7 linked regions of the Callithrix jacchus genome follow. The protein of the gene in region 3 purifies or fractionates together with the protein of the main gene of each other region. This does not show direct contact. Links are inferred from orthologs where the notes say so. Each region holds a gene or a part of one and is shown on either strand. Other genes may lie near its edges. The genes, in order: USP39, SRSF1, SF3B1, MCM5, SNRNP40, TRA2B and ZNF326.

Region 1 (4,017 bases), on a different chromosome or scaffold from region 3:
TTCTAATGATGGTTTCTTTTGCTGTACAGAAGCTCTGGAGTTTAATTAGATCCCATTTGTCTATCTTAGCTTTTATTGCCATTGTTTTTGGTGTTTTAGTCATGAAGTCCTTGCCTGTTCCTACGTCCTGGATGGTTTTGCCTACAGACCATTTTCTTTTCTTTTTTTTTTTTTTTGAGACTGAGTTTTGCTCTTGGCACCCAGTCTAGAGTGCAGTGGATCTTGGCTCTCTGCAGCCTCTGCCTCCCAGGTTCAAGCGATTCTCCTGCCTCGGCCTCCCAAGTAGCTGGGATTATAGGTGCGTGCCACCATGCCTGGCTAATTTGTATTTTTAGTAGAAACTGGGTTTTACCATGTTGGCCAGGCTGGTCTTGAACTCCTGACCTCAAGTGATTCTTCTGCCTCAGCCTCCCAAAGTGCTGGGATTACAGGCTTCAGCCACCTTGCCTGGCTGACTGTTTTCCATCATAACAGACTATATTTACTTTAAAGAAAAAATTTTGGTGGGGCAGGGTGGCTCAGTCATGACAATTGCTTCAGTCTGGGAGGCGGAGGTTGCAGGGAATCAAGATCTTGCCACTGCACTCCAGCCTGGGGGATAGAGTAAGAATTTGTCTCCAAAAAAAAAAACAAAAAAACTTTCAATAGGTTTTTGGGGAACAGGTGGTGTCTGGTTTCATGTACAAGTTCTTTAGTGGTGATTTCTGAGATTTTGGTCACCCATCACTCGAGCAATGTACACTGTATCCAATGTGTAGTCTTTTATCCCTCACCCCCCCCACCATTTCCCCCAAGTCCCCAAAGTCCATTGTATTATTCTTACACCTTTGCGTCCTCACAGTTCCCTATATTTATTTTATGTACAGTTACATGGTTTTATTATGGGAAAACATCAAATTTTAAGATAATTTTTATATTAGTTTGGAGTTGAGAGATGGGAGAACTGTTTCCTAGATAGTTATCTTTGCTTCAGCCAAAATGGATGATGAAGAAAAGAGTATTTGGATTTTACCCTTCTACCTTATGAATTTGAGTATTGTCACAGCATAATTAGAGTAACAAAAGGAAATTGTTAAATAAATTGATAGAGATTTGAATACATGTGGTTTTTGTTTTGTTTTACCCTTATTATTATCCACATCAGCGAAGTATCTGCAGAACTGTAGTTCTTATGAAACTCAATTTTTTTTTCTTGTTTCCATTATCAAATCAGTGGTATTTCAGACACTCAATGTTAAGGACAGTTCTGTAATGTGAGCCTGGGTAGGATTCTCCAAGGGTCCATTTAAGGCTCTTTAAGGCCATCACAGATAGATCACAGGATTCTATTAGGAGAGCTTTAGCTGGAAGAGCTTGGCTCAAGGGGTCCTACAAAGGGGCTTTGGGTTAATTGGAGTGTTTGATTTTCAGGCTCTATCTAATGTTCCTCCTCTCCGGAACTACTTTCTGGAAGAAGACAACTATAAGAACATCAAGCGTCCTCCAGGGGATATTATGTTCTTGTTGGTCCAGCGTTTTGGAGAGCTGATGAGAAAGCTCTGGAACCCTCGAAATTTCAAGGCACATGTATCTCCCCATGAGATGCTTCAGGCAGTTGTACTTTGCAGTAAGAAGACTTTTCAGATCACTAAACAAGGTAAGGAGCAAGTCATTCATGTTTCCCTTGACTTCAGGACAACAAAACCAGTTTAATGAGCAAATTTATTTCCACATGGCAGTGAATTTTTTTTTAACTCTATCACCCAGGCTGGAGTGCAATGGTGTGGTCTCAGCTCACTACAACCTCTGCCTCCCTGGTTCAAGCGATTCTCCTGCCTCAGTTTCCCAAGTAGCTGGGATTACAGGTGCCCACCACCATGCCCAGCTAATTTTTGTATTTTTAGTAGAGAGGGGAGTTTTACTTTGTTGGCCAGGCTGGTCTCAAACTCCTGACCTCGTGATCCGCCTGCTTTTGCCTCCCAAAGTTCTGGAATTACAGGTGTGAGCCACTGTGCCTGACCTCTAATGAACTATTTTGACTGTTTCTGTCTCTCCAAACCCAATTTGTTATTATCTTATGAGTAAAGTGGACACTGTAACTTTGTACCTGAATCTCATGTGGTATCCTCTAGTGTCCGTATTAGTTTATTCAACATTCAGTCATGGTGCTAGGTTTTAGAGCAGCGATAAGAAACATGATTTTTCCCTTTGAAGAACTTCCAGTCTAGTGGGGAAATTGTTATGTAGAAAGGTTGAGTGTGCTGGCATAAGCCTATGGTCTGAGCTACTTGAGAGGCTGAGGCAGCAGTATTGCCTGAGCCCAGGAGTTCAAGGCCACAGTGAATTATGATCATACCAGTGCACTCTAGCTGGGTAACGGAGCAAAACCCTGTCTTTAAAAATAAATAAGCAAATTTCAACTATCCTTTTTTTAACAAAAGGTAATTATAGGGTGTTATGTGCTGTGCTGTGGGAGGGAGCATGGAACAAGGACCCCCTCAACTGAACATGTAGGAGGTAGATGAGAGGTCAGAGTGGAGGAGGAGAACCCTGAGTTTTAGGTAGAGTTAGAGGCAGGTTGGGGTGGGGGCAGGGCATTCTAGGTAGAGAGGACATGGTGGGCAGAAGTGAAAAGTGCCTGGCATAGACGGACTGCAAGTAACTGGATCCGTGGACTCCAGGGATCAATGGAGAGTTGAGGTGTAGATCTTGAGGGAGGGACCTGATGGCCTGGTTTATAAGCCACCATAAGGAGCTTGGATTATATCCTGATAACAGCTGGGGTCATTTAAGGCTTATTATTATTATTATTTTTTGTGATGGGATGTCCCTCTCTTGCCCAGGCTGGAGTACAGTGGTGTGATCTTGGCTCACTGCAACCTCCGTCTCCTAGATTCAAGAAGTTCTCCTGCCTTAGCCTCCGAGTAGCTGGGACTATAGGCACCTGCCACCACACCAGGCTAGTTTTTTTGTATTTTTAGTAGAGACAGGGTTTAACCACGTTGGCAAGGTTAGTCTCGAACTCCTGACCTCAGGTGATCTGCCCACCTCGGCCTCCCAAAGTGCTGGGATTACAGGTGTGAACCACTGTGCCTGGCCTCACTGAAGGCTTTTAACAAAGGTATGATATCAGAGTTGTTTTTAAAACATTATTCTGGCTGGGCATGGTGTCTCAAACCTATAATCTCAGCACTGCGGGAGGTCGAGGTGGGTGGATTGCTTGAGCCCAGGAGTTAGAGACCATCCTGGGCAACATAGTGAGACTCTGTATCTACAAATAATTTTTTAAAATTAGCCAAGCATGATGTCAGGTACCTGTTGTTCCAGCTACTTGGGAGGCTGAGGTTGGAGGATCGCTTGAGCCTGGGAGGTAGAAGCTGCAGTGAACCATGTTCACACCACTGCACTCCAGCCTGGGCAACAGAGCGAGACCTCCGTCTGTAAAATAAAAACAAAAACATTATTCTGGCTGAGGATTGACTTAGAGGGGATGTTGAGTAGTGACTTTTAAGAGTCTCTGTTACTTAAGGAGAAATAGGGGGAATCAAGGTGGTAAGGAATGGGGCCCATGGAGCACTTATTTTAGGGTTAGTAGGAAATAAGATATACTTTGGGTTGGATAATATATATTGATCAGAAGCCCATGATTTAGTCTCAGCTGAGCAGAAGTTATAAGTCATTCGAGCTTGGTAATTGATGGTGTTTAGTAGTTTACAACGTGGCCAATAAAATCTTAATCAGGTGCCAGGCACGCTGGCTCATGCCTGTAATCCTAGCACTTTGGGAGGCCAAAGTGGGAGGATTGCTTGAGCCCAAGAGTTCAAGACCAGCTTGAGCAACATAGTGAGACAGACCTTCTCTCTACAAAAAATTTATAAGTTAGCTGGGCATGGTGATATCCACCTGTAGTCCCAGCTATTTGGGAAACTGAGATGGAAGGATTATTTGAGCCTGGGAGCCAGAGCTTGCAGTGAGCTGAGGTTGTGCCCAGCCTGGGTGACAGAGTGAGACCCTTTATCGGGAAAAAAAAATCTTCAT
Region 2 (4,774 bases), on a different chromosome or scaffold from region 3:
TGTCAGTCATCAGTTTAACAGATGCACATCAATAACTATCAAATTCCCCAAAACAAGTTTCTGAATGGTGTTCAGATAAATTTTAGAAACTTAATCATCATAGAGACTAACTGGAAGAAGCATCTTATATTTACAGTTCAACTGATAATGCCAACACTTGTTACTGTACAGTGTATTACAGGTTTCGTGGTTGCAAGAAGTTATGTAATTTAAGTTTACTGGCATTGCTACCCACCTAATCTAAAACTAAATCTAATGCTCCCATTTGCAATTTAATTTGTAAATTAAAGTGTTTTAAACATATGAATCAATTATGAATATTAAAGGGGAAGGTGAGACCTAAGTATTCCCAACTAGATTATCTACACCAATACATTGGAACTCTATTATTTTGCTTTCATTTTGTCTTAAAAAAATGAAATAGCAACGCTCTATCAGTCACACAGAGGACATGCAGATTTAGCAGTATTGATATTATACTCTATCTTGTTGGATTTAAAGACACCCTCTACCCACATGTACACCAACAGCAGGTCACACATTAACAGTTGTAACTAAGCACTGCGACAAATTAGCCAGTTCTTCCCACATTAGTCCCTATTATAACAAAAATGGGGGGAAGGGAGCAAAATAAGTTGCTACAAAATGGGCAACATAATTTTGCCACAATTGCCAAGGTTTAAAAGGTAAAGCAATTGTAGCTAAAGGTAACTGAATAAAACATTCAAGTGTTTTAAGGAAAATGTATATAATCATTTTTACCCCCCTGCCTTTTAGTATAAGGTCAATACTGCCAATTTCATCTGTGACAATAGCACTTGGAGTCATACCATTGCCTCCATTATTGATCTGATCCTCCTCAATCCTCCTTTTGACAATCCTAAAATGATTGAAATGTGCTCCACAATCCTTAATCCAAAGCATTCTTAATCCATCTCTTCAGATATGTCTACAGAAAGACACATGAAAAGCAAGATAAACATAAGAACTTCCCCAGGTAAGATAACCATAAACATCCCCAACATCCCAGTTCACACAAATCAGGGCAAAATAGACATTTACACAATATCACAGTCTGAAGAGTATGGAGTTAACTAAATTTAAACAATCCTGTCTATGACATCACTTAAAATACAATTTATCGAAGACACGAGGGGAATGTAGATGTTAGGAGCAAAGGGATATTACAAGAATGCAATTCAACACTTTAGCCCATTCTGAACAAAACAGTTTGAATTAAAAAATGAAAAGATTGTACTGAATAAAGGAAAACTGTATACAACATGGGTTCTACAAAAAGTGTCACCAATCATCTTATGTACGAGAGCGAGATCTGCTATGACGGGGAGAATAGCGTGGTGATCCTCTGCTTCTCCTTGGGGAGTAACTGCGACTCCTGCTGTTGCTTCTGCTACGGCTTCTGCTACGACTACGGCTTCGAGATCGAGATCTTCCATAACTTGGACTTCTGGGCCCATCAACTTTAACCCGGATGTAGGCAGTTTCTCCCTATTGGATAGACAGAACTTTCCATTGAAAGATCTAAGCTTTCACCTAGCTTCAGGCATGCTGAATGAATACAATGTAACTAAAACCAGAAATCTGGCAATTTACTTGGACACCCTTGCCTGAATCCTTACCTTCAAATTCCACTGTTAAGACCACTGTATCCAATTCTGGTCAAAAAAAAGAATAAGCATATAACCTACCTCATGGGATCTAAACTTAGTGTTATCCAGTTTTCGAACTGCATAGGTCATATCTTCTTTCCGTACAAACTCCACGACACCAGTGCCATCTCGGTAAACATCAGCATAACATACATCACCTGCTTCACGCATGTGATCCTTTAAATCCTGCCAACTTCCACTTGGAGGCAGTCCTGAAAAAGCGATTTTTTTTCTTAGTATCAATTATCTTAAATTTCACGTTAAGCTGATAAGGTACATTAGGACAAAGAGTACTTTAAAATACTTAATAGTTGTACTTAAGTGATACCAGGTAAAGAGCTGGTAAGATTCTGGAATCCAGAGTCCAAAATTATTTGTAACGGATCTTCGTATCTAGTACCGCAACCTAATTTGGTAAATCACCACAGCAGCAATCCTCGTTTATTAAATTCACCCAAAAACTAAAGCAATTTAAGACCTAGCATGAAAAATTTGCAATTGTTAAACCGGTCACGCAAGAGAAAATTTTTAAGTAGTTTCCGTCCCTTCACATCAACCACACAACCGGTAGACTTACCAGAGACAACCACTCTGTTTTCAGACCGCCTGGATGGGGGGCCATAGCGACCTCGGGGAGCTCCGCCACCTCCACCCCCGCCGCCTCCTCGGCCTGTTCCACGGCCGCTTCGAGGAAACTCCACCCGCAGACGATATCCATCGTAATCATAGCCGTCGCGACCATACACCGCGTCTTCCGCGTCCCTGCGGGATCGTAGACAGTAAAAGGCATGAGAAAGACCAGGAGGAGAAGATCGCTCAGTCGGGAACCAGCGAACCCCCCGCACATGCGCACCCAACGTGGAAGAGCCCACATGCGCCGCATAATGGGAATGACCCCTCCCCCACCCAGAAACACGCCAGGCTCCCAGCCACTACACCAGCCCTCAGCGCCTCAGTTTCCCGCTCCAGCCTGCGAATGGGCTCCGGGGACGTCCAAGGCGAGGCGCCAGAGAAGCCACACCAACTCAGCTCCTCACTCGACTCCTGCATGGGCGATACAGTCTCGCCCCATCCTCTCTAAGAGCCCCCGCCTTCCCGTTCTCTATATTAAGGCCTTGGAGTCTTCCCCGACCACTCGGACCTATTTCCTCAAGGCTGCAAGCCCCATGCCGCCTCACCGCGGGTCCTCGAACTCAACGAAGGCGAAGGGCGGTCCCCCGCGGCGATTCTTGAGATCGATGTCGCGGATAGCGCCGTATTTGTAGAACACGTCCTCAATGTCCTTGGTTCGGATGTCTGGAGGTAAGTTACCCACGTAAATGCGGCAATCGTTGTTCCCTGCGGGGCCACGAATCACACCACCTCCCGACATGGCGGCGACGAAAAACGTGGACTCGAGAACGGGCCTTCCCACCAAGCCTAGCGCACGGCAGAGCAAGCCCGCAGCGGCACCACGTCTCCCGCGGCCCCTCCAAAATGGCGCCTTTATCAGTTCGGCGCACGGATATGGGGGGGGGGGGAGACAGAGGAAGAGAAGCGGAAGGAAACAGCGATTCGATCCCAACACGCACGCGCTGCGAAGACTACGTTCAACGTACGCGCGCGCACGCACGCGCGACGTCACCCTCCGCACGAAGGGGGAAAAAAAGTCCCCCGCGTTCCCGGCTTGGGGTGGTTTGCGAATAGAGTGGCCGTTTGGTAAAAGTTAAATAAAGAACTCTCTCTAAAGGAGCTAGTCTTCCAGGTCGGGTCTTGAAGGACAGTCAGTTTCCCCAGGAATGAGGATCTCTGAAAGCAACTCGGCGCCTTGAAAGGACTTGGTGAAACCTAGCCTAGAGCCTTGTCCCACCATGCTCTGCGGCGATAACGGCCTTTGGCGGGAAGGAGTCTCGGGGGCGGGGCCAAAGGGGGAGGGACCGGGCGGTTGCTCCGGAAACCCAGGCATCCTTGTAGAGTGCGTCTAGTTCAGAGCTGAGGTGCCATTGGAGAGCTGGGGCGTTGGTTTGTCTTCCCTCTCCTCCTGCGAACAGGGCGTGGCTCCTTAGACAATGAGATTTGTCTAATTTAGCAAAACCGATTTCGATTCCTAAATAAATCCTCTTCACTAAGTACCGTTCCACCTTCTGGTCAGAACTTTGCATAGCTTAGTTCAGCACTCCTTGTGCTTAGTCGCGGTGGGTAGGTCGTACTAGCTATCCGGAAGGGGTGAAAACACCGTACCGCCTCTGGGACCCACACCTCTGTATCTCTTGTTAGTCGCCTATCCGTGGGACTGGCGCAAAAGATTTGCAAATTTGTTTCCGTTGTTTCCTTTCAAATAAAGAGAAGGAAGAAGGGGTGCGTGTGTGCAGTTTTCCCTAAAAGTTACTGATATACCAGGTTTTGAAACTACCAGTCCTCTCAGGTAATAAAATGGAGCGAAATGGATGTGAGAACCGTAACCACTAGAGACCGCGGTTGCTACTCAGGACTGTGATCTACTTGCCTGCAGTCTTGGGAGATAATATTTTACATTTTTTTCCGACGTCTAAAATCTAGATTTTTTATGTTAAATCCAGGGATTTTTAAGGTAATGAATTCAAATTAAAATCAGGCTGGGCGTGGTAGCTCACGCCAGCACTTTGATGGGCGGGTCACATTGAGGTCAGTAGTTCAAGACCAGCTTGGCCAACATGGTGAAAACCAATCGCGGTGGCTCACGCCTGTAATCCCAGCACTTTGGGAGGCCGAGGCGGGTGGATCACGAGGTCAAGAGATCGAGACCATCCTAGTCAACATGGTGAAACCCCGTCTCTACTAAAAAATACAAAAAATGAGCTGGGCATGGTGGCACGTGCCTGTAATCCTACCTACTCGGGAGGCTGAGGCAGGAGAATTGCCTGAACCCAGGAGGCAGAGGTTGCAGTGAGCCGAGATCGCGCCATTGCACTCCAGCCTGGGTAACAATAGAGAAACTCCGTCTCAAAAAATAAATAAATAAATAAATAAAAATAAAAAGCCAGGTGTGGTGGCGGGCGCTTGTAATCCCAGCAGTTTGGGAGGCTGAGGCAGGCCGACAGATCACAAGGTCAGGAGTTTTGAGGCCAACCTGGCCAATATGGTGA
Region 3 (4,017 bases):
GGATTTAACTATACATCTGCTGTATTAAAATTTTGTGAACTTTTAATGGTAATGGAGTAGTGCTTAATATGTAAAGAAGGAAAGAAGCAGTGTAGAACTGCACATGCAGTGTCACCTCAACTGTATGGAGAAATGAAGGAAGTAGCTTGAGATACACATAGCAGATATCTCTGTGTAATAATGTTAAGGATAGTTAAAAAATGACTTTGCTCTCTTCCTGTTTCGTAGTAGTTACTGTCTGTTTTTGTAACCCACGGAAAAGAAACATGTATACACACAAGAGTGTGAAAAGGTATATATAAATTTGAAATGGAACACTAGAAATTTAAATAAGGAATATTCTATTTTAGAACTTAATAGATTTGATTATAACTGAGAATAAAAAATATTATTTTAACAGTGATTAAAATTGTGGTCTTACTCACTCTTTCTTTTTAAAGACACTCCTGGGCATGGAAGTGGATGGGCTGAGACTCCTCGAACAGATCGAGGTGGAGATTCTATTGGTGAAACACCGACTCCTGGAGCCAGTAAAAGAAAATCACGGTGGGATGAAACACCAGCTAGTCAGATGGGTGGAAGCACTCCAGTTCTGACCCCTGGAAAAACACCAATTGGCACACCAGCCATGAACATGGCTACCCCTACTCCAGGTAGAAACTCTCTCATTGAAAATAATTGTTTTTTCCTCTACAAATTATTTAATTTTTTCTTTATGGTATTCTGTGTGCTATTAATGTCAATTACTAGCTAGAATAAGGAGATAAAAAAATAAGTCTTGGTTTGCATTTATAATATAAAAGCAACTAAATGTTAGGGTTGGTCTTAATGCTCTTTTATCTCAAAGATATATGTAATAATACAGTGTTGCACTATAGATTGTATAAAAATTTGCTTTTCTTGGTAGGTCACATAATGAGTATGACTCCTGAACAGCTTCAGGCTTGGCGGTGGGAAAGAGAAATTGATGAGAGAAATCGCCCACTTTCTGATGAAGAATTAGATGCAATGTTCCCAGAAGGATATAAGGTAGTACATCAAATATGAATGAGGTTGTATTTAGGATATGCATTTATTTTAAATAGTAAAAAAAAATTGATCAAGGTTGCATTGGCTTTGCCCAAATTTAGTATTGTCATTCCATTCTCTTAGGTATTTCCAAGTATGTTTCAGTTCCAAAGAGAGATGAAAAGAAATGAACAACAAGAAATTAATTTTTGAAAGAAATCTCAAGGACTATTGGTTAGACTTTGAGAACTGCCGCTGCTTCAGTTTTCCATCAGTCCCAGGAATAAACTCCTTTAGATTGTGGTTTTTTTTTCTTGGTGTTTTACCAAGATTTTGTGTCCTTAAGTTTATGGATTATCAGTGGACACAAAGAATATTCTTGTTTTTTTTGGTGGTGGTGGTGGTTTTTTTTTTTTTTAGATGGAGTCTCACTCTGTTGCCCAGGCTGGAGTGCAGTGGCATAGTCTCTGCTGCCTGGGTTCCAGTCGTTCTCTTGCGTCCACCTCCTGAGTAGCTGGGATTATAGGCGTGTGCCACCATGTCCAGCTGATTTTTATATTTTTAGTAGAGATGGGGTTTTGCCATGTTAGCCAGGCTGGTCTTGAACTCCTGACCTCAGGTGATCTGCCCTTCTCAGCCTCCCAAAGTGCTGGGATTACAGACGTGAGCCACCATGCCCAGCGTTCTTTTTGCCATATCAACTTGAAATTTATTTTGAACTATAAAATTTTCTAGGTAGCTGACACTTAGGGAGTATTTGTTAGTCTAAAGGTAGTCTGTGGTCGTATAGCTGAGATTATAACCAGAGAAACCAGATGACTTTGTAAATCATCTGATGGCCTTTACAGAGCTTTTTCTGTTAATGACTGTTGATTTTTAACAGTTTGTGTGTGTTTTTTTTTTTTTTGGTTTTGTTTTGTTTTGTTTTAGAGACAGGGTCTCACTCTGTTGCCCATACTGGAGAGCAGTGGCATTGACATAGCTCATTGTAGCATCGAACTCCTGGGCTCAAATTATCCTCCTGCCTCAGCCTCCTGAGTTAGCTGCGGCTACAGGCATGCACCTCCACACCTGGCTAATTTTAATTTTTTTTTGTAGCGATGGAATCTCAGTGTGTTGGCTAGGTTGGTCTCAAACTCCTAGGCTCAAACTGTCCTCTCACTTTGGCCTCCTGAAGTGCTGGGATTATAGGCATGAGCCACTGTCCCCAGACTTGTTTTGTTTTTGATCCCCTGTTATTTTTGCTAAGTATGTGTTTCAAGTTTGCATGAATTTTTGCTTAAAAGCTTTTTGTAGACTCCACATAATGCTGTGGGTATAGATATAACCTACTGTTGACTGCCTGAGCTTCTTTCTCAGTCATAGTCATTGATTTCCTTAGTGTCACTAGGAGGAAAAGTCTCCCTTAGTGTGAATCCTCCTAAAAAGCAACATCCTTACTAATGAATATAAAAATATAGGAGACCTTTAAATTCTTAATGGCGAGTGATTTCTGTGGACTTGAAACTGATTTTTCTAGGCTTCACATCTATAGAGTATCCACTTTATTCAGAATGCTTAGTGGTCTGTGCTGGTGCAGACATTAACTAGCAACGAAAAATATCTGTATTTTGCAGATATTTTATATATATCAAATTATATAAAATAGAGATGGGGTCTCGCCTTGTTGTCCAGGCTGTTCTCAAACTCCTGGGCTCAAGTGTTCCTCCCATCTCAGCCTCCTAAAGTGCTGGGATTACAGGCATGAGCCACCACACCTGGCCTGACCAGAAGTTGTAATTTTTTTTTTAAGTCTGTTACCAGCTTAAAAAAAAAATTATTTGTGATTTTTAGCCAATAGTTTTTGAAATTTTACTGGTTTTGCAAAAGGTTTAATTAGGTGGTATATTTTACAGGGCTTTGGTAAACATTTTGGTTTTAGTTTTTATGAGTTTTACCTTAAAAGATTTGTTTTTAGAGTGCAGAAATTTATGTGATATTTTAATACTAAAATATAGCTCTTTATATGTTGTATACACCGTATGAGCTTATTTCCAGTTATATAAATACTTATTAAACGTTATTTGCTTTACTAGAGCATTTTTTGGAATTGCTGACTCAGATTTTATTTTCAAATTTTTAATAATTTGACATTTTGACCCACAACATGTTTGAACGTGATTAGTGTTTTCTAAGCTCTTCTCTTGTATTTCCTCAGTTCCCTATACAGCTGATATAATCAACAGATGAGAAGCATGTATTTTAAGTTTCTAATTACATTAGAAAAGCAAGATAGGTGTTGTCTCCAAGCAAATAAAAACCTTCTAACTAATAAACTGTAAAATATTTTAAGTGCAAATGTTTTTCAAGTTAAGATAATTCTAAAATGTCTTATAACTTTTATTAGGTACTTCCTCCTCCAGCTGGTTATGTTCCTATTCGAACTCCAGCTCGAAAGCTGACAGCTACTCCGACACCTTTGGGTGGTATGACTGGTTTTCACATGCAAACTGAAGATCGAACTATGAAAAGTGTTAATGACCAGCCATCTGGAAATCTTCCATTTTTAAAACCTGATGATATTCAGTACTTTGATAAATTACTGGTAAGTATTGCTAGCAGAAATAAACTATTACATTGTGTTCCAGAATTATAAATCATAACATTTCAATTTGCCTTAACATTTGTTTTCTTTTTACTATAGGTTGATGTTGATGAATCTACACTTAGTCCAGAAGAGCAAAAAGAGAGAAAAATAATGAAGTTACTTTTAAAAATTAAGAATGGAACACCACCAATGAGAAAGGTAAGTCTCAGTTTGTTAAGTTGTCATGTTTGTTGCTTATGTAATTAAAAACAAATTTTTGTAGTTTTTGTAGAGACAGGGTTTTGCCAAATTGCCCAGGCTGGTTTCAAGTGATCCTCCTGCCTCGGCCTACCTCCCAAAGTGCTGGGATTACAGGTGTAAGCCACTGAACCTGGCCATGTTTATATTTTTAAAAATGTTTTTAATTTTTAAATTTTTTCACC
Region 4 (4,017 bases), on a different chromosome or scaffold from region 3:
ATGGTCCTGGCTGATGGTGGGGTCGTCTGTATTGATGAGTTTGACAAGGTGAGTTTGATGAGGTGGGTAGTAGCCAAAAGGGGGTGGCACCAGGGTATGTGACCTCATGTGCTCAGCCAGCATAAATCACCTCTGACTTGGGAGACATGTTTTCAATCCCTGGGCCTGTCGCTCTAGGTTAATGGTGGGAAGTTGCTTAACCTCTGAAGCCTCAGTTTCCATATCCGAAAGTGTGGAGAAGATAGGCAAGCCCACACTGTGCTTACCATGATTAGAGGTGACCTGGTCGCTGCCATTGGCCTTGCATGGAGCTGGTATTCAGGAGTTGGGGCTGCTGTTAGTTTTCCTGCTGCCACAGCTCCCTGCTTCCTCACTTCAGTAAGTCTGATGACATTTCTCTCCTCCACTTAGATGCGAGAAGACGACCGTGTGGCAATCCATGAAGCCATGGAGCAGCAGACCATCTCTATTGCCAAGGTGAGTAGCCTCCGTGGAGAGCGCCCCCAGCAGCAGCCTGGCCCAGCCATCCTCAGGCTACCCTGATTGGCTTTGGCTGGGACCAAGTTCTCGTTGCCCATGCCTAGAATCCTAGAACGGGGTGTGTGTGTAAGTGTATGTAAGAAGGCATCTCCCAGGTTCTCTTTGCCTAGGCCTAGAATTGTGTGTGTGTGTGTGTGTGTGTGTGTGTTGCTCAGGCCTAGAATCACGTGTGCGTGTGTGGGGGAGTATGAGTATGTATTGCCTAGGCCTAGAATTGTGTTTATGCGCGTGCACACGCATGCATAACTGTGTGTGTGTGTGTTGTGTGTCCGTGTGTAAGAAAGAAAGCATCTCCCAGGGCTCTTTGCCATCTCCTCCCCCTTCTCATCCTCTGTCACCTCTTAGGCTGGGATCACCACCACCCTGAACTCTCGCTGCTCCGTCCTGGCTGCTGCCAACTCAGTGTTTGGCCGCTGGGATGAGACGAAGGGGGAGGACAACATTGACTTCATGCCTACCATCTTGTCGCGCTTCGATATGATCTTCATTGTCAAGGATGAGCACAATGAGGAGAGGGATGTGGTGCGTCCAGGGCCAGGGCTGAGGGCCATGGGGCCTGGCTCCAGGCGGGCTTGTGATTGTGTGGAAGGAAAACGGAGAACAAGGGCCTTGGCTGGTGAAGTCCTAGCTGTCAGGCTGTGAGGTTGGGGAGCATGTCAGAGAGTATTTGTTGGGGACTGCAGAGGATTGAAGTAGGGGTCTGGAGTCCTGTGGCCTGGCTCTGCCTCTGCTGTGAGTGATAAACTGTGTGACTGGGGCTAAATCAGTTTCTCCATAAGGGCCTCAGTCCCTTATATGTGAAACAGAGGAGTTGACATTGGGTTATAAGTAATAGAACCTCAGTTCTGGTTAGTAAATTTTTCAATGAACAGAATAGAGTGGTTTATAGAATTGAGAAGTCCAGCAGCTTAAGGCCCAGGTATATCTGGATTCTCACACAACTGTCTCTGCCTTTCTGCTCTGCTTCCCTTGGTGGAATCTTTGTACTTGGGCAGCTGTTCCTTTTGTGGTGGCAAAGACAAAATAAGATTTTGTCTCATTAGCTTATAGCTTGATAGCCCCCAGGAAAGAGACACCCCTTTTCTAGTGCTTCTAGCAAAAGTCCCAGATAGACTCCTGTTGGTATGGGTAGATCAAATGTCCATCCTTGAAGCAGATACACGCCCCAAGTAGGGGTGGACAGGCTGAACCCCACCCCTTTATGGACCAGGGCAGAGGAGCAAGGAGCATTAAATTCTCTCTAAAGGAGAATCCAGACACTGTCGTCAGAATGAGGGTCTGGTGCTGAGCAAACGGGATGAGCATGCCTGATACCTCAGCACCCTTTCTGGATCTGTGTTGCTAGGGTCCCATGAGCTTTTTCTGCCTGTTCTACCTCAGTGTTGGGACCTAGGCTTGGGAGGGCCTGTGGGATGACCCTGTGTCCCCTCTTCCCCCTTGCCCCCTCTCCCCCAGATGCTGGCCAAGCATGTCATTACTCTGCACGTAAGTGCACTGACACAGACACAGGCCGTGGAGGGCGAGATCGACCTGGCCAAGCTGAAGAAGTTTATTGCCTACTGCCGAGCGTGAGTCCTGGATGCAGGCCCATGGGGGTGAGGTTGCCCAGCTTCCCTGGGTGGGAGAGAACCCAGTCCCCTGATCCTGCACCTCCTCATGCTCTACTGAAGCTGTTCTGTTCCCTTCTCACCTTGCACAGCTCACTGGCTCTTGGCTTCAGTTTTCCCATCTTCACACCAAGGAGGTGGGATTTAGATGGTCTTGAAGTTCTCCTCAAGTTTGACATGCAGGGAGGCAGTGAAGTGTGGACATGGTGGATATGGGCTCTGGGTCATACCTGCCCTCACTGTATGACTCTGGGCAAGTTGGTTGGCCTCTCTGAGCCTTGATTTCCCCAGGCTGATGTTTCCTAGGATTTTTGTAAGGATTACATAAGATGATCAGTAAGTGCTTGGCATCGCCCTGCTCTAGGTAACTAAATACTCAGTGAATGGTAGCTGCAACTTTATTGTTCTCCCAGATTTTCAGTAATAATAATGACATACATAGTACTGGCCTGGTACAGTGGCTCACGCCTATAATCCCAGCACTTTGGGAGGCTGAGGTGGGTGGATCACTTGAGGTCAGGAGTTTGAGACCAGCCTGCCCAACATGGGGAAACCCCATGTCTACTAAAAATACAAAAATTAGTTGGGTGTGGTGGTGGACACCTATAGTCCTAGCTACTTTGGAGGCTGAGGCAGGAGAATTGCTTGAACCCAGGAGGCAGAGGTTGCAGTGAGCTGAGATCATGCCATTGGGCAACAGAGCAGACTTTGTCTCAAAAAAATATGTGTATGTGTGTATATGTACACACACACACTACTTTCTTTGTTCTAGGCATTATTCTGAATATTATTCAGTACCTTTTTTTTTTTTTTTTTTTAAAGATGGGGTTTCACCATGTTGGTCAGGCTGGTCTTGAACTCCTGACCTCAGGTGATCCGCCCGCCTTGGCCTCCAAAGTGCTTGGATTACAGGCGTGAGCCACCACGCCCGGCCTTATTCAGTACTTTCTATATGAATTAATTGTAACCTTCCCCAAAACCTACCAGGCTAGGTGTGCTATTATTCCCTTTATGGATGGGGAAGCGGAGGCAAAGGAAGTTAAGTAACTTGTCCAAAGTCACGTGTCAGAGGTAGTGGAGCCAGGAAGTGAACCCAGTTGCCTGCCTCCAGAGGCTATGCTCTTAACCACAGTACTTAGATTCTTGTCATACAGCACCTTGATGGTCTTTTGAAGGAGCTAACACCCAGGGGTCGAGGGCACTCTGAGTTCACTGCTGGTGGGGGGCTGGTGGGTCCCTGATTCAGTACCTCTGCTGGGGTGAGTGTGGACAGTTCCTGGGTCTTCATCCAAGTCTGAGCTCTGTAGAGCCCAGTCTTGAGAGGCTTGGGCCCACAGCTGTGAGTCAGGGAGCCCTGGATTCTAATCTTACCTCTGCACTAAGTCCCCAGGTGGGCTTGGGGAGTGCCCTCCCTCCCTTTGGGCCTCAGTCTCCACATCCTTAGGATGGTTGAGCTAAGGCTTTCCGTACATCAGTGATTGTCAGTTGGCCGGTGGGCTGGAGGGGAGGGGATGGGATGGGGTAGATGCTGATCAGATTTCCCCACACTTCCCCTCCCAGGAGAGTCTGAGGTGCTCCCAGCCCTTGGACTGCAATCACTGCCAAGCCTCCTGTGGGTATCATCAGCTTGTCCTGTCTTCAGATGTGTTGGGGTGGAGGAATTTGAGACTGTGCCACTCAGTGGTCCTTCATGCTGCTGTGATTGTGCCATTGTTAATTACATGTGTGGGGACAATGCCGTTGTTAATTACAGTATGGGGAATGTTGTGGCAAGACACCACACAATGTCCAACAGTGGGGAAGGGGCGGTTTTCGCCTTGCAGATGTGGCCAGGCTTTTCTTCACCTGTTTTCTAACAGGCATCTGTATT
Region 5 (4,487 bases), on a different chromosome or scaffold from region 3:
TGATAGTGAGTGAATGGTACCACCATCTATTGAACTATATAAGCCAGAAACCTAGGCGTTATCTGTTATTGCTCTCTTCACTTCCTAAAATCAACCCATCACCAAGTCCCACCCGTTTTACCTCCTATATACCTCTGGAATCTGTCCAGTTCTCTGCAGTTCCACCCAGGTCTCAGTCCTCACTGACATCTCTAACAAGAATTACTACATATCCTAAGTGGTCTATATACAGCCACAAGGGCTTCCTCAACCCCAATCTGTTCACACCACTGAGCCCGAGGAATCAAGCCCCCTCCTCCACCACACCCCACTGGGGGAAGACGGCTCAGTGGTATCTCATCCGTTTTAAAATAAAAGCTACAAATTTCTGCAAGGTCTGACCGCTATCACATAGTTTCATCTTGTGCCATACTCCCCTTCATTCTCTTTGTACCGGCCACACTGGTTCTTTGTGCTTTAGGCCGTTTTCCTCCCGAGTGCCTCAGGGCTTGGGAGGAAAATGAACAAGTAGTTCTCTATGGAAGGTTCTGCCTTAGCCTCTTCACCTAATTAATTCCAATTCTTCCTGCAGCTACCAGCGCAGGCATCTTTTCCTCTGAAAAACCTGCATCAGGCAGCACTAGAGGCACTTCCATGTATTAGTGAGGTCACTGTTTAACGTTTTCCCCACCAGACTTAAACGCCTTGAGAGTAGGGACCGTGCCTGGTTCACAACGTATCCCCAACGCGCTGCACAATAAATATCAGCTGGACGATTGAGGAAATGACCACGTTCACGGGCATGAGTCAAATTTCTCAACAAGACTGTGTCTGGAGAAGGAGCCGGACATTTCCTTCATCACGGTCTCTCTCAGCGGGGCATAGAGTAGGCCCTAACCAAAAACTGCAAAATCAGTGGCAGAAACAAGTCAGCCTCCTCGGCCAAATAGGGCACCGGTGGAGGCTGGACACAGGCCCTTCTCCCTGGGAATGCCCGGCACAGGACTGGCCACGATGGGCGCTCTTGAAAAAGGGAGCCGCGGGGGCTCGGTCCTGCCGCCGAGACCCCAAGGCTCCGCTCCTGCCCGGAAAGGGAGCCCAGGCTACTACTTACCAGAGCTGGGGACTCGGGGCCCGCCTCCCACCCCTCGCTATCAGCACCCTCAGCTGAGAAGGGCAGGTTCAGACTGCACAACAGAGGCGTTGCCTCCAGACTCAGACAGCCACCCACCCCGCTCTTCCTCATACGTACTAGGCGTCAGCTCCTGGTCCCCAAATCGCGGCGTTGAAGTAAACGCCTAACCCAGTCAACCTGCGTGTTTCCACCCACAACACCCAGCGCGCCTAGGAAGGTCGCCAGCTCCGTTCACCAATCCTGGAATCGCGCTCTCATGACGTCAGAAAGATAGGCCCAGTAACAAGAGACTATCTGGAGGGCGGTGCAAATGGGAATATTGAAAGCCGATTGGTTCTTCAAGCTGGAAGTTGTGGAGGAAGGACTAAGTTGAAACCAATTGCGTGGCGCCTGAGGGCTGTAGCGCGTTCGGTGGCGGCGCTGAAGAGACCGGTTTCCGCCATGATAGAACAGCAGAAGCGTAAGGGCCCGGAGTTGTCGCTGGTCCCAGTCAAGCGGCAGCGCCATGAGTTGCTGTTGGGAGCGACGGGGTCGGGCCCCGGAGCCGGGCAGCAGCAGACGACACCGGGAGCTTTGCTGCAAGCGGTAAGTGAAGAAGCAGGCGGCCTTTGGCCCTCAGCTCATCTTCCTCTCCCTTCAAAGCGCTGTGTCTGGTGGCCCTGCACCGACCCTTTCCCGCATTGCGGGGGCAGAACGAGAGTTTCCCCCTAAAGTTAAAGCACATAAACACTAAGCGCCCCATAGTTTGCGGATACTCCGTACATGTTCCCCTGTTTGGCGCTCGTTTTCAGCCTCTCGACTGCCCTGTGAGGTGGCTTTAGAAGTAGAGTTGAATTAGAACCTTGGGCTCAAAACCCGGGCCCGGGTTTGAGCATCCTAACTCACATGGATCTAGCTAGCGTAGAACAAACGTTCAAAAAAGTTTGTAGAATGAACGAGGGAGGGAGGAAAGAAGGGAAATGATTGGGGTTGGTTGCTTTTCCCTTTATTTTTCTGCGCTAGTATTATTAACAATTAAATAGCAGCTAACATTCTTGGACCCTTGTACTAAAGTGTTTCCCATGTGAAATATCTATTAATCTTGGTAGCAGCCTGTTAGGAAGGTTATTAACCCATTTTGCAGATGGAAAAACAAACTTACCAAGTACATGATAGAAACAGATTTTGAACTGAGAAACCATGCTCCTAACTATTTTATAAGATAGAAATCGTGATCACACTTCCAGTGTCCTGTTTAGGCTCACATGAGGAAATATGAGTGTCTTCTTTCTCGTGTTCTCAACAAATCCTGCTGGCACCGTCCTCAAAATAAATCTAGAATTGCTACTTCTCCCATCTCCATCACTGCCTCATGGCCTAAGCCATTGTTACCTCAACTGGCATTTTTGTAGTAGGGTCCTAACTGGTCTACTTTCTGCCTTTGGACCGGCACCTGTTACCAAGCCAATAACCAGATGAATCCTTCTAAGTATCGGATCACGTTATCCTCTGCAGAAAACTTCCTGGTGGCTTTCTACTTCACCCAGAGTAAAAACCAAAATTCTTGTAATCATTTGCCCTCTTTCCCTTTACCTCTCTGACCAGTTTTTCATTGCCCACCTGGCTCCAGTTACACTCTCTTCCAAGCCTCGCCTCAGTCCTTTGCATTTGCTGCTCCCTCTGCGGGGATAGCTCTTCTTCCCAAATGTTTACAAGGGAAGAAGAGCAATCTCCTTCTACTAAGCTCCTTCGAATATTTGCCCAAATATAACTTTTTCAGTAAGGGTTTTCCTGACCACCCTATTGTAAATTGCAATACCCTGTACTCTGGAACCCACATTGCTACTTTCTTTCTTTCTCTCTTTATTTTATTTTATTTTTTTTAGAATCTCCATTTGATGCCCACTTGCTTAGTGCAACCTCCGCCTCCAGGGCTCAAGTGATTCTCCTGCCTCAGCATCCTGAGTAGGTGGGACCACAGACACTACTAATTTTTTTTTTTTTTTTTTTGGTAGAGACAGGATTTCACGCAATCCACACACCTTGGCCTCCCAAAGTGCTGGGATTACAGGCATGAGCCAACATGCCCATCCTTTCTTTCTTTCTTTTTTTTTTTTTTTTCTTTTTTTGAGACAGAGTGTCACTCTGTCACCCAGGCTGGAGTGCAGCGACATGATCTTAGCTCACTGCAACCTGCACCTCCTGGTTTCAAGCAATATTTGACTCAGCTTCCCGAGTAGATGGGATTACAGGCGCCCACCACTACACCTGGCTAATATTTTGTATTTTAGTAGAGATGGGGTTTTACCATCTTGGCCAGGCTGGTCTTGAACTCCTGACCTCATGATCCACCCATCTCAGCCCCATAAAGTGCTAGGATTGCAGGCATGAGTCACCATGCCCGGCCCATCCTTTTTATTTTCTATAGCACATGACAGCAAGTACATATTTTGCTTGTTTTCTGTCATCCTCCCTCCTACTCTTCCCCTTTCCTACTGGAAAAGGATATTTTCAATATACCCCTTTCCTTTGTTTGTTGCTGTTTGCCCAGTGCCTAGAACATAACCTTTGTTGTTGTTGTTGCTTTTTTTATTTGAGGTGGAGTTTCGCTCTTGTTGCCCAAGCCAGAGTGGAACGGCGCAATCTTGGCTCACTGCAACCTCTCCCTCCCAGGTTCAATCGATTCTCCTGCCTCAGCCTCCCAAGTGGCTGGGATCAGAGGTCCCTGCCACCACACCTGACTAATTTTTGTATTTTTAATAGAGATGGGTTTTCACCGTGTTGGTCAGGCTGGTCTCGCACTCCTGACCACAGGTGATCCACCCAGCTAACTTTTATATTTTTAGTAGAGTCGGGGTTTCACCATGTTGTTCAGGTTGGTCACAAACTCCTGACCTCGGGTGATCTGCCCGCCTCAGCCTCCCAAAGTTCTGGGATTACAGGTATGAGCCATCATGCCCGGCCTGCACATAGCATTTTGTAAAAATAAGAATATGGCTGGGCGTGGTGACTCACGCCTGTAATCCCAACACTTTGGGAGGCCGAGGCAGGCGGATCACCTGAGGTCAGGAGTTCGAGACCAGCCTGACCAACATGGTGAAACCCCAGCTTTACTAAAAATACAAAAATTATCTGAGTGTGGTGGCAGGCACCTGTAATTCCAGCTACTCGGGAGGCTGAGACAGGAGAATTGCTCGTAGCCATTAGGTGGAAGTTGCAATGAGCCGAGATCATGCCATTGTACTCTAGCCTGGGCAACAGAGCAAGACTCCTTCTCATAAAATAAAATAGAAATAAATAAATTAATATAGTAGAAAGTACTGAAGACATTTGGGGATTTGGGGTAGTATACTTCTCCCATTTGACAAGTGAGCATATCAGCCCAGGTGTAGAT
Region 6 (2,946 bases), on a different chromosome or scaffold from region 3:
GAGAATGAAGCACATTATCAGGCCCAAATATCAAATAAGCACTCTTAATAACTTTCAGGTCAAACAATCCCTGCTATATTTTAATCTGGTTACCTCTTAAATTTTACGTATGTTAAGAGAGGTAAAAGAAAATTCCTGGCTGGGTGCAGTGGCTCATGCCCAGGCCAAGGCAGGAGGATTACTTAAGGCCAAAAGTTTTTAGACCAGCCTGCGACATGGTGAAAACCTGTCTCTATAAAATACAAAAAATTAGCCGGGCATGGTGGCACACACCCATAATCCCAGCAAGGGGCGGTGGCGCGCGCGCACAAAGACTGCAGTGAGCTGAATTGCTCCACTGTACTCCAGCCTAGGCAACCGAACCACACTCTTGTCTCCAAAACAATGAGAGGGAAGTCCCATACCATTAAATAATTCCCACAATATCCTCATGAACTAACACCCAAAACTAATTTCACAAGCACTTCGGGATTTAGTTTTGTGTAAAAAAGCCTGGCTTGAATGTACCCGAGATGCTTACAAAAAGCAAAGAAAATGTAATACAAGAACATAACAAAAGTAATTACAAAAAACTAGTTCTTTAACAGTGACTATCTTTAACATCATTAAGGTATAAAATGGTACACCACTAATAACGTATTCCAAACCCAATTAATATTTACAAATATACAAGACATTACACAGTCATTTAGTTTCATTTAGAATATTTTCATGAGCTTCAAACAGTTTGATTTTGGGTATTTCACTTATAATTTACAAAATATTAGTAGGCAACATCTTTATGTGAAGCTTTCTACTGTTGTACAGATGCTAAATCCTCTCCTGGAATACCTGTAAATCTGATCCCTGTCTTGAGCAGCTCTCCATCCTCCTCCTCCGCCACCGCCTCCTCTGTAAAGACACAAGGACAACATGCATTCAGTTTTGTAAAATTATGTCATTCATTCAGTAAATTAAACTTTCATAGAGCATGAATGAGATGCTCCTTGTATGTCAAGTGATTTGCCACCCTTTTTAGAAACTGGCATAGAGCTCTCTCTGGTGGCTGAAATGAGTAGTATTATTAGAACACAGAACACTCCTAAGTACTATTTTAAAAAAATGTCAAACAGGCCTGTCAAATTAATACCTTAAGTACCATTGAATAGAGTGATACTTTAAAGACAAAAAAAGGGTTTTCATGGGTGATAAAATGCTGAACAAGAACATACTTAAAAACTCACTTTCAATGATCCACAACTGTTAATTTCTTAAACATTACCAAATAATGTACAATTATCAAGGTATCAATGACAACTGTGGTCAATACTAACTACACTACTTCACTTGTCAAATTACACATTTTGACAAGCAAGGGAGGACCCAAATTTCCCAACTTTAATTTACTTTTATCAAGTTATTTTCAAAGATATCTTTAACAATGATTGGCATTTCCCTACCCAAACCTCTATAAATATCAAATTTTTGGCAGTCACAAAAAGTCACTTACCCTTTTAATTAATTATTTTATTTAATTATTTTCTGGTTTTTCACAGCATCAGTTTTACCTGCCCTCTAAGCGTACAACCCATGCATCAGCAATACCAAGAAACTGCTTGAAAAGCAATGGCTTATGCTATTTGCTTTTATAAAACATTGCAAATTTGTTTTTATAATACTAAGACACAGGTTATAATTATTTTTTGATTTTTTTTTTATTTTTAAGACAGGGCCTTGCTCTAGCGGAAGTGTACCTGGCTCACTGCAGCCACAAACTCCTCAGCTTCCTGACTCATTTCTGTGGAGATGGGTCTCCCTATGCTGCCCAGACTGGTCTCAAATCCCTCAGTTCAAGTGATCCCCCTGCCTCAGCCTATAATTTTGCTTTAGCTTTTTTGAGTGTCTTGATGTATTGCCCAGAGTGGAATAGTGGTGCAATCTCAACTCACTGCAACCTCCACCTCCCAGGTTCAAGTGATTCTCCTCAGTGTCCTGAGTAATGTCTGGCTAATTTTTTATTTCTAGTAGACAGGGTTCACTATGATGGCCAGGCTGGCCCTCAGGTGATCTGCCCAGCTTGGCCTCTCCCCAAGTGCTGGGATTAAAGGTGTGAGCCACCACGCCTGGCCTGTCACTCTAAAACAGCTAATTCACACAAAACACGTGACCGGGCGGATCCCCAAGGTCGGGAGTTCAAGACCAGCCTGACCAACATGGTGAAACCCCATGTTAAAAAAAGAAGAAGAAGAAAAAAACCATGTTATTTTATTGACATTCCAAGTGACTTAAACCCCATTTAAATTTTAGAATATTGGAACAGAAATCCAATCACACATGAATTTAAAGACATATCACTTTAAAATCTGGTTTAAGCTTCTGCTTTGCGTTTCTCAAAGTACTACAGCAAAGCCTTTATGAAAGGCTAAAACTTAAGCATAGTGCTAATCTGTACACTGTAACTGAGATTCAGAAGGTGACCTTCATAACTTACCTGTATGATCTGCTATAGTAGTCCCGATCATCATAGCCCCGATCATATCCTCTGTCATAGTAATCCCGACGGCGAGAGCTGCCACTATGAAGAAAAAAAATACCAAGTGTCCCTTATATTTCTGTACGTGACTTTTTATATCTACATTAACTAGAAAATGAACATTATGTCTGTTAAAATTCTCACCTATATTGAACAAGCACTGCTCTTTCCCTTGTTACAGTATATGTATACACCTACTTAAAAAAAAATCTTTGGTTAAGGAAACAGAGATCCTACATATGCACATCCCACATATTTCTACAAGGATAAAAAATAAACAGTATCACTCTGCTCTACTTAAAAGACATCATAGGTTGGGCTTGGTGCCTCATGCCTGTGAATCTCAGCATTTTAGGAGGCCAAGGAGGGCAGATTTTGAGGTCAGAAGATCAAGACCATCCTGGCTAACACATGCCTGTATTTCCAGCTACTGG
Region 7 (4,017 bases), on a different chromosome or scaffold from region 3:
CATAAGGGTGTAGGAAGCTGAGCGTGGTAATTCTAGCACTTTGGGAGGCCGAGGGGAGGTGGACTCCTAGAGCCTAGGAATTCAAGAATATCTTGGGCAACATGGTGAAACCTCATCTCTACAAAAAATATAAAAATTAACCATGGTCACAGGTGCTTGTGGTCCCAGCCACTTGGGAGGCTGAGGTGGGAGGATGGATTGAGCTTGGGAGGTGGAGGTTGCAGTAGGTTGAGATCATGCCACTGTACTCTAGCCTGGGAAACAGCAAGATTGCGCCACTGCACTCCAGCCTGGGCAACAGAGCAAAAAATAAATAAATAAGGGTGCAGGGAAATCAGGGGAGGCTACGATGATGGAAGTGGTATTTGTGTTGATCTGGGAATGTCAGGGTTACAGGAGGAGTTGTGAGAGGAAGCCCAGGTAGAGGCCATGGTTTGCCATAAAAGCAAATAAACAGGAATGTGTTATTGATATTCAGAAAATTGAGAGCAGTGTAGATTGAAGTGACTCTAGTGCGGTGAAAGGTGTAATCTAATTTAAACATTTAATGAAGGTTTGCTATGTGCCAGATATTGTTAAAGGAATTGGTGAGTAAAGCCAAGAAGGAGAGATTAGGAAATTTCCCAGATGCTAGCTGAAAACATTTTTGTCTTTGTTTTTTGAGGCTTAAGGAGCTAATGATGCCCTTAGAGGAGTAATTTGCTCTTACCTCCTAGAGGAAGTAATAATAACTAATTGAATAATTATTGTGTGTTAGAAATTGTTCTAAGGGCTTTATATGTATTTTTAAAAATCCTCATAACACATCTATGAGCGTTCTGATCTCAATGTAAGAAAACCAAGGCCCAGAGAAGTCAAGTAACTTGCCCAAGATCACAAAATGGAATTAGGATATGAACTCAGCAGTTGGCTTCAGAGCTTATATTCTCAACTATGAAAGTAAATCTAATAGCATTGCAAATAATTAATTAGAAAATGGGACTAGAAACAGAAACCAGTTATGTCACTGCTAGCCTAATTCAAGGAAAAGAAAATAACATGAGATAGAAACAATTATGCTCTGTGCAGTGGCTCACACCTGTAATCCCAGCTCTTTGGGAGGCTGAGACAGGTGGATCACCTGAGGTCAGGAGTTCAAGACTGGCCTGGCCAATTGAAAAAAACCCCGCCTCTACTAAATATACAAAAATTAGTGGGCGTGGTGGTGCATGCCTGTAGTCCCAGGTACTTGGGAAGCTGATGTGGGAGAATCTCTTGAACTCGGAAGGTGGAGGTTTCAGTGAGCCAAGATCTCACCACTCCATTCCAGCCTGGGCAACAGAGCAAGTCTCCATCTCAAAAAAACAAAAAAAAAAAACCAAAAAACAAGTGGGACAGTTCATTCTGGAGTGGCTCTTGAGCTTACAGATGTATGCATTTGTCCAGTCCAGACCTATTAGTTATCCTGAAGTGAAGTGGTCATTAGAAGGTAAGACTTTTGATCACCTAAGAATTCCATAGGAGTGAATTATGATTGTCTGATGGTGTGCCACTATACTTAGTTGATACTACCAGTGGTTTAGAAGCTTGAGGATGGAACAACATGTAAAATGTTACAGAACTTTGGAACTTAATACTTCTTGAGGTTTGCTTTGGCTTTTTAATTGGTCTAGGCTTGAAGTAGATAATTTATATATCCACTGCTTCCATTTTTCCTACGTGGAAGCTCCAAGGTGGGCCAGAAATGCGAAGTGGTAAAATGACTCTGCTGTCTAAATAAGTACTTAAAGAAATATTGGTTTTTTTTTTTTTTGGATTTAAGCTAATTTTAATTCAGTATAAAATGGAAGAAAGGAAATAATTTATGTTGATAAAATTAGTTTCAATGGTATATTCTTGTGAACTTGTTATAAGTGAAAAAAGTAATATTTGAAGGAAGACTTTTTTGTCTTATAGAATGGCATTTACATGTTCGTTTTGTAAATTTCGAACATTTGAAGAGAAAGATATTGAACTGCATCTGGAAAGTTCTTCACATCAGGAAACATTAGATCATATACAGAAACAAACTAAATTTGATAAAGTAGTTATGGAGTTTTTGCATGTAAGTAGCTGTTTTTGAAATGAGAAGCATTTTATTGATGTGAATTTCTTATGATTTCATTTTTCACTTTCCCCATCTCTCACATTTTGTATTTCTAAAATTTTAGTTTACTATTTAAAGAAAGAGTTGTTTTAAAATTAACTCATAATTGCTTGTGAATACCTCTATAATAGAGTTTGTTAAAATTAACCCATAATTGCTTATGAATTCCTCTATAATTTGGATTTGTTATTTCAGAAATTATTACATTTTTCACAGTTGTTTCTGGTGGAGGTGTCCTTTAACAACTTTATTGATGTAGAGTCAGCTATCATCCATTAAGTGGAGTTATGCTAGATACATTCATTCATTATTTCAATTGAGCCTTAAAACAACTCATTTTTATCATGAATGATTATGCTCAGAGTAGCTAAATGACTGTTAGGTGGCAGTGCCAGGAATTCAGAGGTACCGTAAGTGTTTGGTAAAGGGAAAGACAGTTGGGAATGTTAAAGAATGCTTAGGCCGGGCATGGTGGCTTACGCCTGTAATCCCAGCACTTTGGGAGGCTGAGGCGGGTGGATCACGAGGTCAAGAGATTGAGACCATCCTGGTCAACATGGTGAAACCCTGTCTCTACTAAAAATACAAAAAATTAGCTGGGCATGGTGGTGCGTGCCTGTAGTCCCAGCTACTCGGGAGGCTGAGGCAGGAGAATTGCCTGAACTCAGGAGGCGGAGGTTGCCGTGAGCCGAGATCGTGCCATTGCACTCCAGCCTGGGTGACATGAGTGAAACTCCGTCTCAAAAACAAAAACAACAACAGCAACAACAAAAGAATGCTTAACGAAGGGGCTTGAGCTGGACTGTTTATTGAACATACAATTAATTTGGACAGAAGAGATGGAATTATTAGAAAGAAATACAGTGATTATCCAGGCCAATATAATCTTCACAGAACTGTGACCCTTGATTAACACTTTTCTGTAATGTATTTCCGTTGCCCTAACTTAAATACCCACCTACTCTGAGAAGACCACTTAAATATTCTGGCTCCTTTTGATCTCTTTCTGTATATGCTTAAATAATTTTTGTAGGTTCCTAGTATTTTATGAGTCTCTTTTCAACTAAATTGTAAGCTCCTTAAGAAAAGATATTAATTCTTATATAGCAGATACTATGTCTTTCATAGAATGAACATAGTGCTAAGCATTATACTAAGTGCTCATTGAAAACTTTTGATTTTTTCTGTTTTGTTTTCTAGGAGTGTATGGTGAATAAATTCAAGAAAACCTCTATTCGTAAGCAACAGACAAATAATCAAACAGAAGTAGTCAAAATAATTGAAAAAGATGTTATGGAAGGTAAATATTTAAAACAAATTATTTAAAAATTTTACATGCATTTTAATATATCATAACCTGTTGAAATATAAATGTTAGCCACCAGAGTGATACAGTACACAGTCATATATGCATTTGCTCTGAGTGGGTTATCAGAAATGAACTTCGTTGACTTCCTGTTCTCATGCTTACAAATTTATTGCTACCTACCATTACTTCCTTCACTTAAGTTTCAGAGGAAAAGTTACCTTTTCCTCTAAATGAAAGACACTTCTCTCTGTCCTCTGTTTCTTCTATTCCTTCTCCCTAAATTCAAGTTATGAACTCTTCTGTTTTTTAGTCTTGTTTTCTCTTTTGATTCCATTTTTGGAGTTTGTAAATATGCTTTTACTTAAAACAGAAACAAAAAAAACAGCCAACAAAAGGAATAAAAGAAAAGAAAAACATACATTAGTTCTCCTAAAACCTTTCTTTTTCTTTTTAAATAACAATGCTTCTTTAAGCATAACCCACACTAGTCTCTCCTTCATCTCCCATATATTAAATTAAGCACATTAGACAACTTTCTACTACCCTTAGTCTACTGAAACTGCCCTAACAGAAGTTACCAACA

What was found.
Region 1: the proteins of SF3B1 (region 3) and USP39 purify together in Homo sapiens (co-immunoprecipitation; 3 studies listed by BioGRID and IntAct, with this or other methods). This does not show direct contact. The link is inferred for Callithrix jacchus from reciprocal best matches to the Homo sapiens genes SF3B1 and USP39.
Region 2: the proteins of SF3B1 (region 3) and SRSF1 fractionate together in Homo sapiens (co-fractionation; 3 studies listed by BioGRID and IntAct, with this or other methods). This does not show direct contact. The link is inferred for Callithrix jacchus from reciprocal best matches to the Homo sapiens genes SF3B1 and SRSF1.
Region 4: the proteins of SF3B1 (region 3) and MCM5 purify together in Homo sapiens (affinity purification with mass spectrometry; 4 studies listed by BioGRID and IntAct, with this or other methods). This does not show direct contact. The link is inferred for Callithrix jacchus from reciprocal best matches to the Homo sapiens genes SF3B1 and MCM5.
Region 5: the proteins of SF3B1 (region 3) and SNRNP40 purify together in Homo sapiens (co-immunoprecipitation; 3 studies listed by BioGRID and IntAct, with this or other methods). This does not show direct contact. The link is inferred for Callithrix jacchus from reciprocal best matches to the Homo sapiens genes SF3B1 and SNRNP40.
Region 6: the proteins of SF3B1 (region 3) and TRA2B purify together in Homo sapiens (co-immunoprecipitation; 3 studies listed by BioGRID and IntAct, with this or other methods). This does not show direct contact. The link is inferred for Callithrix jacchus from reciprocal best matches to the Homo sapiens genes SF3B1 and TRA2B.
Region 7: the proteins of SF3B1 (region 3) and ZNF326 purify together in Homo sapiens (co-immunoprecipitation; 3 studies listed by BioGRID and IntAct, with this or other methods). This does not show direct contact. The link is inferred for Callithrix jacchus from reciprocal best matches to the Homo sapiens genes SF3B1 and ZNF326.

What each region holds. Positions count from the first base shown.
Region 1 is NC_133515.1:27,393,539-27,397,555, reverse strand, and holds part of USP39 (ubiquitin carboxyl-terminal hydrolase 39), read left to right. Parts: intron 1-1,410; coding exon 1,411-1,636; intron 1,637-4,017.
Region 2 is NC_133506.1:108,329,152-108,333,925, reverse strand, and holds the start of SRSF1 (serine/arginine-rich splicing factor 1), read right to left. Parts: upstream 3,166-4,774; 5' UTR 3,043-3,165; coding exon 2,849-3,042; exon of another isoform or gene 2,433-2,848; coding exon 2,248-2,432; exon of another isoform or gene 1,883-2,247; coding exon 1,710-1,882; exon of another isoform or gene 1,510-1,709; coding exon 1,323-1,509; exon of another isoform or gene 950-1,322; coding exon 927-949; coding exon of another isoform or gene 911-926; 3' UTR 1-910. UniProt on the Homo sapiens protein: Plays a role in preventing exon skipping, ensuring the accuracy of splicing and regulating alternative splicing.
Region 3 is NC_133507.1:118,370,300-118,374,316, reverse strand, and holds part of SF3B1 (splicing factor 3B subunit 1), read left to right. Parts: intron 1-440; coding exon 441-653; intron 654-907; coding exon 908-1,029; intron 1,030-3,394; coding exon 3,395-3,592; intron 3,593-3,691; coding exon 3,692-3,793; intron 3,794-4,017. UniProt on the Homo sapiens protein: Component of the 17S U2 SnRNP complex of the spliceosome, a large ribonucleoprotein complex that removes introns from transcribed pre-mRNAs.
Region 4 is NC_133502.1:206,269,642-206,273,658, forward strand, and holds part of MCM5 (DNA replication licensing factor MCM5), read left to right. Parts: coding exon 1-48; intron 49-411; coding exon 412-477; intron 478-885; coding exon 886-1,062; intron 1,063-1,995; coding exon 1,996-2,108; intron 2,109-4,017. UniProt on the Homo sapiens protein: Acts as a component of the MCM2-7 complex (MCM complex) which is the replicative helicase essential for 'once per cell cycle' DNA replication initiation and elongation in eukaryotic cells.
Region 5 is NC_133508.1:67,930,719-67,935,205, reverse strand, and holds the start of SNRNP40 (U5 small nuclear ribonucleoprotein 40 kDa protein), read left to right. Parts: upstream 1-1,525; 5' UTR 1,526-1,555; coding exon 1,556-1,699; intron 1,700-4,487. Other genes in the region: ZCCHC17 (zinc finger CCHC domain-containing protein 17), read right to left, coding at 1,094-1,225. UniProt on the Homo sapiens protein: Required for pre-mRNA splicing as component of the activated spliceosome. Component of the U5 small nuclear ribonucleoprotein (snRNP) complex and the U4/U6-U5 tri-snRNP complex, building blocks of the spliceosome.
Region 6 is NC_133516.1:14,862,948-14,865,893, forward strand, and holds part of TRA2B (transformer-2 protein homolog beta), read right to left. Parts: intron 2,555-2,946; coding exon 2,471-2,554; intron 892-2,470; coding exon 832-891; intron 1-831. UniProt on the Homo sapiens protein: Sequence-specific RNA-binding protein which participates in the control of pre-mRNA splicing. Can either activate or suppress exon inclusion. Acts additively with RBMX to promote exon 7 inclusion of the survival motor neuron SMN2.
Region 7 is NC_133508.1:127,450,969-127,454,985, forward strand, and holds part of ZNF326 (DBIRD complex subunit ZNF326), read left to right. Parts: intron 1-1,935; coding exon 1,936-2,083; intron 2,084-3,325; coding exon 3,326-3,425; intron 3,426-4,017. UniProt on the Homo sapiens protein: Core component of the DBIRD complex, a multiprotein complex that acts at the interface between core mRNP particles and RNA polymerase II (RNAPII) and integrates transcript elongation with the regulation of alternative splicing: the DBIRD complex affects local transcript elongation rates and alternative splicing of a large set of exons embedded in (A + T)-rich DNA regions.